Xenopus tropicalis: one gene and its partner. The protein of the gene in region 2 interacts with the protein of the main gene of each other region in a pairwise test. Links are inferred from orthologs where the notes say so. Each region holds a gene or a part of one and is shown on either strand. Other genes may lie near its edges.

Region 1 (4,291 bases), on a different chromosome or scaffold from region 2:
CTAGTAGCTCTGTGTGTCTTCACCCTTAGTCATATCATGTATTTATTTTAAACTCACAATCATGTGATTTCATGCTCACTTATGCAAACAATTAATAATCTATTCCTTTTGTTTAAATACAGTATTTTATATATATCTATATCTGTCAGGGGTTATGCAATCAGCTGTGCTGTTAAATGGGTGCCTGTTGCAAAAAAAAAAAAAAAATCACAGCTGACACTCAGGATTGGGGAAACAATAGTTTCCGGATATGTGTCTTTTTTAACCTCAACAACTACAGGGAACCACAGAAGGTGCTCTTACTTCTTTCGTGAGGTAGTACTGGAGCTCTGAGAAGAAGAGTATCAGCATGATAAGGCCACTGATCACTGTAACTAGAAACACAAAACAGGACAGGCATTAGGAAACTTCACACACACACACACACACACACACACACACACACACACACACACACACACACACACACACACACACACACACACACACACACACACACACATATATTAGTATAGTATAGTATTTATAGTATTCACACCCTCTGGAGGTTTAACAAAAATATCTCTGTGAATTGATTTAATACCAATGAAAACACAAATAAATGACTTATACCCCCTTTATGTCAGTATTTAGTAGGTCCAACCTTGAGTCTGTGTGGATTGGGGGACTCTATCAGCTTTAAACATCCGGCGCTACCACCTCCCCCCATTTATCTTTGCAAAACTGCTCAGGTTGCAGTGGTAATGTGTGACCACACATGGTGCCAGCCTACCCCACTGTACCCACATTATGGAGTCAGCCTTCTTCCTACCCAGTAATGACTAAGTGCCTCTGTCTATTAGGCTGACCCTCCATAACTAGCGGCAATCTATGAATCATGTGGCACTAAGCCGTCCCTGCCCAGACACATCAAACCATCCACTCTACTTAGTGATGCCAGTCTGTGCCAATCTGTACACTAGGCTATCTCTACCCAGTGACTCCATACCATCAAGACTTGGAATAATGGTAGTACCAGTCTATCAGTATATTAGTTTATAGTATTCTTTACAAATATCCCCACATTTGGTGCCAGCCTCTCTACCCAGTGATGCCAGTCTGTACACATGTGGTGCAAGGATCTCTCTACCCAGTGATGCCAGACTGTACACAGGTGGTGCAAGGATCTCTCTACCCAGTGATGCCAGTCTGTACACAGGTGGTGCCAGCCTTTCTACCCAGTGATGCCAGTCTGTACACAGGGGGTGCATGGATCTCTCTACCCAGTGGTGCCAGTCTGTACACAGGTGGTGCCAGCCTTTCTACCCAGTTATGCCAGTCTGTATACAGGGGGTGCAAGGATCTCTCTACCCAGTGATGCCAGTCTGTACACAGGTGGTGCAAGGATTACTCTGCCCAGTGATGCCAGTCTGTACACAGGGGGTGCAAGGATCTCTCTGCCCAGTGATGCCAGTCTGTACACAGGGGGTGCAAGGATCTCTCTGCCCAGTGATGCCAGTCTGTACACAGGGGGTGCAAGGATCTCTCTGCCCAGTGATGCCAGTCTTTACAGAGGTGGTGCAATGATCTCTCTGCCCAGTGATGCCAGTCTGTACAGAGGTGGTGCAATGATCTCTCTGCCCAGTGATGCCAGTCTGTACAGAGGTGGTGCAATAATCTCTCTGCCCAGTGATGCCAGTCTGTACAGAGGTGGTGCAATGATCTCTCTGCCCATTTATGCCAGTCTGTACAGAGGTGGTGCAATGATCTCTCTGCCCAGTGATGCCAGTCTGTACAGAGGTGGTGCAATGATCTCTCTGCCCAGTGATGCCAGTCTGTACAGAGGTGGTGCAATGATCTCTCTGCCCATTTATGCCAGTCTGTACAGAGGTGGTGCAAAAATCTCTACCCAGTGATGCCAGTCTGTACACAGGTGGTGAAGGATCTCTCTACCCAGTGATGCCAGTCTGTACACAGGTGGTGCAAGAAGCTCTCTGCCCAGTGATGCCAGTCTGTACACAGGTGGTGGCAGCCTCTCTACCCAGTGATGCCAGTCTGTACACAGGTGGTGGCAGCCTCTCTACCCAGTGATGCCAGTCTGTACAGAGGTGGTGCCAGCCTCTTTACCCAGTGATGCCAGCCTGTACACAGGTGGTGCCAGCCTCTCTACCCAGTGATGCCAGCCTGTACACAGGTGGTGGCAGCCTCTCTACCCAGTGATGCCAGTATGTACACAGGTGGTGCCAGCCTCTCTACCTAGTGATGCCAGTCCGTACACAAGTGGTGCCAGCCTCTTTACCCAGTGATGCCAGCCTGTACACAGGTGGTGCCAGCCTCTTTACCCAGTGATGCCAGCCTGTACACAGGTGGTGCCAGCCTCTTTACCCAGTGATGCCAGTCCGTACACAAGTGGTGCCAGCCTCTTTACCCAGTGATGCCAGCCTGTACACAGGTGGTGCCAGCCTCTCTACCCAGTGAATCCAATGCTTTCAGCTCTGCCATTAAATGAGTAGCAGCCTATTGTCTGCCCAGTGACGCCTGTCTGATCCACTGCCAACCTCCCTCTGTAAATCATGCTGTCCTGCCCTCTCCCGGTCCCAAGCTGTGTCCCTGCTGAGTTTGGCCACAAACAGCTTGTCACTCTGCGGTTTGCCCCATGCAACCCCTGTACATGCCCCCAGCTTACCTAATGCCCCTCCGCATGTTTTAACCCTGAAATCCTCCAAGGTTTTGGGATAGGCATCAAACTGCCGGAGCCGGTGCAGCGATTCCATCTTCCCCCGCCCCTCAGAGAACACAAACCTACTAGCTGGGCTCACTGCAGCGTCTGCTTCCTGTGCCTGGACTCATCCTGTGTGACATCAGCATCACGTGATTGGGAGAGCAGGAAGCGGCCAGAGAAAGGGGCGGGTATTTCAACCTGGCCGCTCTGTGACTGGAATGTCGACTCATACATAAACCAGACCACGCCCCCTAAGCTCCTATAGGCTTCTACTATTGTAGGGGGGGAGCAAAGCTGTGACAGGCTCTGTGACTGCTTCAGGGGGCTAACTACAGAGGGAGCCCTGGAACATAATAGAGGGGCAAGTAAAGCCCCAAAGGGGTAATTCACCTTTAAGCTAACTTTTAGTATATGAGAGAGTAACCTATTCTAAGCAACTTTTCAGTTGGTCTTCATTATTTATTTGCTACCATTTTTGAATCATTTGCCTTCTTCTGATAACTTTTTGCAGTTTTTAGATGGGGGGTCACTGACTCTGGCAACCAAAAAACTATTGCTCTGTGAGGCTCCAGTTTTATTCTTATTGTTACTTTGTGTGCCTTTCTTTTCTATTCAGTCCCTCTCCTATAGATATAATGGTTTCCCATCCAAACCACTCCCTGGCTGCTAAGGTAACGTGGACCCTAGCAACCAAATAACTGCTGAAGTTCCAGACTGGAGAGCTCCTGAACTGAAAATGAAATAACTACAAAAACTACAAATAAAAAAAATGAAGACCAATTTTAAATTGTCTCAGAATATCACTCTCTACCCCCCCCCCCCCCCATAAAAGAATGTTCTACAGGGGCCGGTGCCCACGTCAACCTCTCCAGCCTTCCCCTCCCTGTCTGCTTTCTCTATAATGAAGCCACTACTTAGGGGCCCTAAGTTGAATTTACTGTGGGGCTCAGTAACCTCTAGTTACACCACTGTACTGCTTGAATCAGTTTGTCACTGTTTTATGAGGCTGAGGTGCCCTGGGGCAAGTCCCTTTACCCCTGTTCTGCTTTATTGCTCCCCCACCTGTGCCCTCTTATTGCTGGCATTCTCTGCCAGTCTGGTGTTTCCTTTCAATGTTGCTGACTTCCTGATGATTAACCTGAGCCATTTCACATTTTCTTACTCTTCTGTAAATAAGAGAGATATTGAGCTTTGTATAAACAACCCCCTCCATTCAACCCCTTTATTGTGACTGTTTTGTTTACAGATTAATGGATGTCCATCATGCACTGGTATTCTTATTATCTAAACTGCAAGCCGCAGGCATGGAGTAGCTTTCCTTTCCCTGTTTGGCTGAAACACAGCTTGCTCCTGGGGTTTTAGGCAGCAGAAAACACAAATTCCGCAGATTTCATTCCCTTTAGGTGCAGGAAAAAAAGCCAAGTTGTTCCATTTGCATTGGGGATCTAGGATATTATAGGATGTGTGGCCTAAATACACATTAATCTCAACAAATCTCTGCAATACTAATATCAAGCCTGTTCATTATCTTACAGTGGCCACAACCTTAGGCTGGGGCAGTAACAGCACCCCGGCACCCCCAGTGGGGGG
Region 2 (4,185 bases):
ATTCTTTTGCATACCTGCCAGTCCACGAACCTTTGCTCCCATTCTCTCTCTGGTGTTCTTTTGCCCCCCAGGCCATTAAACTCTTTCCTCTCCCCACTGAAATAGGCGGGCATAGATTTGTTTAACTATATTTTATTGTGCTTTTTGTGAAGGAAGGATTATTTCCATCTTCGAGGCATAGACAGGGTCTCGGTGCCGCTCTTGGGTTACAAAGAATCAGTGCTCTGCAAGTCTCTATGCAGATAAACAGAAAGGACTGTAACACAACCGTCAGCAAAATAAAAACGACTGTAATCCAACACTCTTTGCAAATAAAAAACAATGGGGTACAACCCTGCAGGTAAGTACAGGTAGACAAGCTACAAGGAGCTATGATCTTTAGGGGAAGCTTTGCAGTAAAGTCCATCACCCTACAAGAGTTTATGGTAAGTGGTGCACACCCAGGCCTGGATTGGGATTCAAAGTAGGCCGAGGCATTTCAAGTACACAGAGGCCCAAAAAGCCCCCCCCCCCCCCCAGCCCAATAAATAGTGACTGTCTATGGCATCTTACAGCAGCCCCATCTGGCATTCGCCAAAATCCACAGATTGCCAGTCTGGGCCTGTGCACACCCTTCCTTTAATCTAATGCACTCCACTGGCATTATTAGGGGTCTCATTGTTTGGCAGTGTGAACAACACAATAATGACAATGAGGATGATCACAATTACAATTACAATTCCTCCAGCAATGATGTACCAGCGCCACTTCTGCCACCGGGTATGGCGTTCCACTGTCTGGGCCGTTTTCTGGAAGTTGCAGGCCTAAGTGCAAAAAAAAAAGTTGCTACTTTAAATATTTCTATAATATTCAGATATATTATATCCTTGTCATCCACAGTCTGGTCATTTTCTAGTGAAATTCAGAAAGCAGACATGCACGCTGCTGTGTGTTGATCTTGCATGTTAAATAAGGTAGGTGGGAATATGAAAGGTCTGCAACATGCACACTCCCGTTGTACCAACGTTATAAAGTTCTTTCCTTCCCACTCCCACCTACTCAATGTTTTCCTTTTTTCCTTGCATGGAGCGTCTGTCTCCCCCCACTCTTGCAGTTTCTCAAGGGGGTATGACTGGCCTGCTGCCAAAGGAATGTACTACATTGCTCAATCAAAACTAATCATACCAGTTCCCGGGCACACCAAATGGGTCTCCAATAGAAGAGCCTTGCACTCAGGCCCGGACTGACAATCTGTGGATTCAGGCAAATGCCAGAGGGGCTGCTGTAAGATTCCATAGACAGTCACTATTTATTGGGCTGGGGGGGGGCTGTTTGGGTCTCTGTGTACTTGAAACGTCAGGGTCTATTTGGAACCCCAGTCCAGACCTGCTTGCACTGGCCAAATCAGAATAGGCTTTTTAACTGAAATGAACCTGACAGATGAACTATATCCACATCAGGAAATGAAAGGAACACAGTTTTGGGGCCACAGAGTTACGCCTGGGAACTGAAGGCAGAACAAGACACTATGGGCCTGTTTCCCTAGTTGCATGGCAGTCCTAGACAGTGACAAGACAGTAACCTTAGCTATTATAAATATACATAATACATTTGGTTTCCTTCAAATTGTGTATCTATTACATGAGTTGTTTAACATGAGATTTTTTGTTTATTTTCCACCTGCAAGCAAAGCACTCCTGCTGCGAGTTGGCTCCCACCTGTGCTTTCATGGCTGCTTTGCACTGCTCTGAAGCAAGCAGGTAATGGCTGGGCATCAGAGAACTGTAATTCCAAATGTTATGCCCATCTGCCCAGCTATGTTGATGTTAGGGGAGCAAAACACTAACAGTGGGGTGGGTGGCAGCAAGCTCAGTTCTGTATGAATAATGACAGGGGTGTGGAAGGCGCTCAGCATACAAAGGGAGGGAAACTGGATACAAAACGTGAAGCAAGGGAATGAAAAGTGTGCCACAGCAGGCTGCACACAGGAAAGAGAAGTGTGTATGCCCACTGCATGTACGTACGGCCTGTCCCATGACATACCATGTTAAGCAAATCATTGGATCGATCCTCTAGGTCAGAGATCTTCCCTTCTCTCTCAATGACCGTGTCAACATTCTTTTTCATCAAGACTTTCACCTCCTCTGCGTTGCGCTGACATAATTCCAGGTTGTTGCTCGCCTGGGGTTGGAAAAACAGAGAGTGCTGTGAGGGTTCTAAGGAAGTCCATGATAATAGAACTATATCACACATGAGCACTGGCCTTTTGGGAGTAAAGGGAAACTGTACAATGCAGGTTTCTGTAAAAATATATCACATAAAACAGCCAATGTGTAATCCAATGTTTCATATAAAGAAAGGCTTTGCATGAAAAATATACTTTTCTAGTATTATGTACTATGGAATAATCCCATTTTACCAACTAAAGTCCTCCTTCTGGCTCATATAAGGAACTGTGCTCCCACACAAACACAGGCACACATACACCGCTAGGTTGTCAATGGACAGCAAACACACTACTTCCTGTTATGGTAGAACCTACATTATTTCCTGTCAGGTGGTCAGTGGGAGATGCCATTAAATGGCTGAGTATTGTGACGGTAAAGTTTTCCTTTTCCAAACACAGATGTTGTTGTAATGGCCCTTCCAGGAAAGAATAGCATTGTCTCATCATCCACTCCTACGGGATCGATGGTAAAATACGGTATTTTCCAAGAAGGCCCATAATGCCGATTGAAGGATTCTGTATAAATATTAAAGTGTGCATAGCAGGCAACTTGATGGCTGTTAAAGGAGACATATAGGATACACGGAAAAAACCTCTAATTTTGTAGGCAATAATGAATAATATAAGGTGCTTTTTTCACTTTAGGCTAAACATTAATCCTCTCTGTAAAAATGGCCCCTTTATTGGAGCTCCCTATAGATCCTATCAGTTCTCTGTCCATGTTTCAAATGAAGGGTGGGCGTGTCCTAACAGCCCCTGCCAGAAGCACAGCAGGAGGGGGAGAGCCAATCACAGCCCTGCACTCACGCAAGCAAAGAAAGGCTTCAGTTCCCTATCAGGTCAGCCTAGCTGCTGATTGGTTCCTATCCTACAATGCAGTGTACTGAGAGCCGCCGGCTCCCCAGCTCACCCAGAGAATTCAGCCAGCAGGAAGTGGCACAGATGGGCGGGACTAGTGGGGTTTTGGGGGAATTTCTCAATAAATCAGTCAGAAACACAACTTTTTTAAGCACAATCCTTCTATATCTAGGAGTATAATTCACTGGTACATTCATCATTTTTATACAATAAAAGCAGTAGTTTACCTTAAGGTTAACTTTTAGTATGTTATAGAATGGCCAGTTATTTCAAACTTTTCAAATGGTCTTCAAATTTAATATTTTTTATAGTTTTTGAATTATTTGCTTTCTTCCTCTGACTCTTTCCAGCTTTTAAATGCAACAATTGTTATTTTTTATTACTTATCTTTCTAAGTCCTCATATTTCTATTTCATATGTTTCATATTCCTGTTCCACTTCATATTCCTGTCTCTTATTCATACCACTGCCTAGTTCAGGGGTGGGCAAACTTTTTGGCTCACGGGCCATATTTACTTACCCCCGGGCCAGGGCGGGCAGGGCCAGGCCAGCGTTACGCCCCCTTAGTCTGTTTAATTCCGGCCCGCCAATGACACCAAGTCTCGCATGATGAGACTTGGCATCGTCGACGGGCCGGATTAAAAAGGCCACGGGGCCGGATGTGGCCCGCGGGCCGTAGTTTGCCCACCCCTGGCCTAGTTGCTAGGGTAATTTGGACCCTAACAACCAGATAGCTGCTGAAAATCCAAACTAAAGAGCAGCTGAATAAAAAGCTTGATAATTTACAAGCTGCATATAATAAAAAAAAGAAAAATGCACCATTAAATCTACACTGATTTTTAGATCACAAACCCATACCTCCCAACATCTGGAAATAAAAAAACCGAGACATAGTTAACCGCCACGCTAATTTTTGACTATTCCCACCTTTAGCCACAGTAATTATAAGATTGCTCCAATTTCTTCTCCCATTGAGACCCAGGTGACTGGTTGGCTAATAATTAGAGCCCTCTAGAGGGGTGAGCCCTGTTAACTTACTCATTTAGGGCCCCATACCCTTCAATGGTGGCCTGTGCCTAATAAGGATGGATTGTGCTGCAGGGCTATAACAGTTGCTGAAC

Evidence for each region. The genes of interacting proteins can lie anywhere in the genome.
Region 1: the proteins of vesicle-associated membrane protein 5-like (region 2) and ergic3 interact in binary tests that used the Homo sapiens proteins (3 or more experiments, as listed by UniProt). The link is inferred for Xenopus tropicalis from reciprocal best matches to the Homo sapiens genes VAMP5 and ERGIC3.

Annotation. Positions count from the first base shown.
Region 1 is NC_030686.2:42,542,340-42,546,630, reverse strand, and holds the start of ergic3 (endoplasmic reticulum-Golgi intermediate compartment protein 3), read right to left. Parts: upstream 2,806-4,291; 5' UTR 2,754-2,805; coding exon 2,666-2,753; intron 375-2,665; coding exon 304-374; intron 1-303. UniProt on the Homo sapiens protein: Possible role in transport between endoplasmic reticulum and Golgi. Positively regulates trafficking of the secretory proteins SERPINA1/alpha1-antitrypsin and HP/haptoglobin.
Region 2 is NC_030679.2:125,676,236-125,680,420, reverse strand, and holds vesicle-associated membrane protein 5-like, read right to left. Parts: upstream 2,805-4,185; 5' UTR 2,654-2,804; coding exon 2,522-2,653; intron 2,161-2,521; coding exon 2,023-2,160; intron 804-2,022; coding exon 624-803; 3' UTR 113-623; downstream 1-112. UniProt on the Homo sapiens protein: May participate in trafficking events that are associated with myogenesis, such as myoblast fusion and/or GLUT4 trafficking.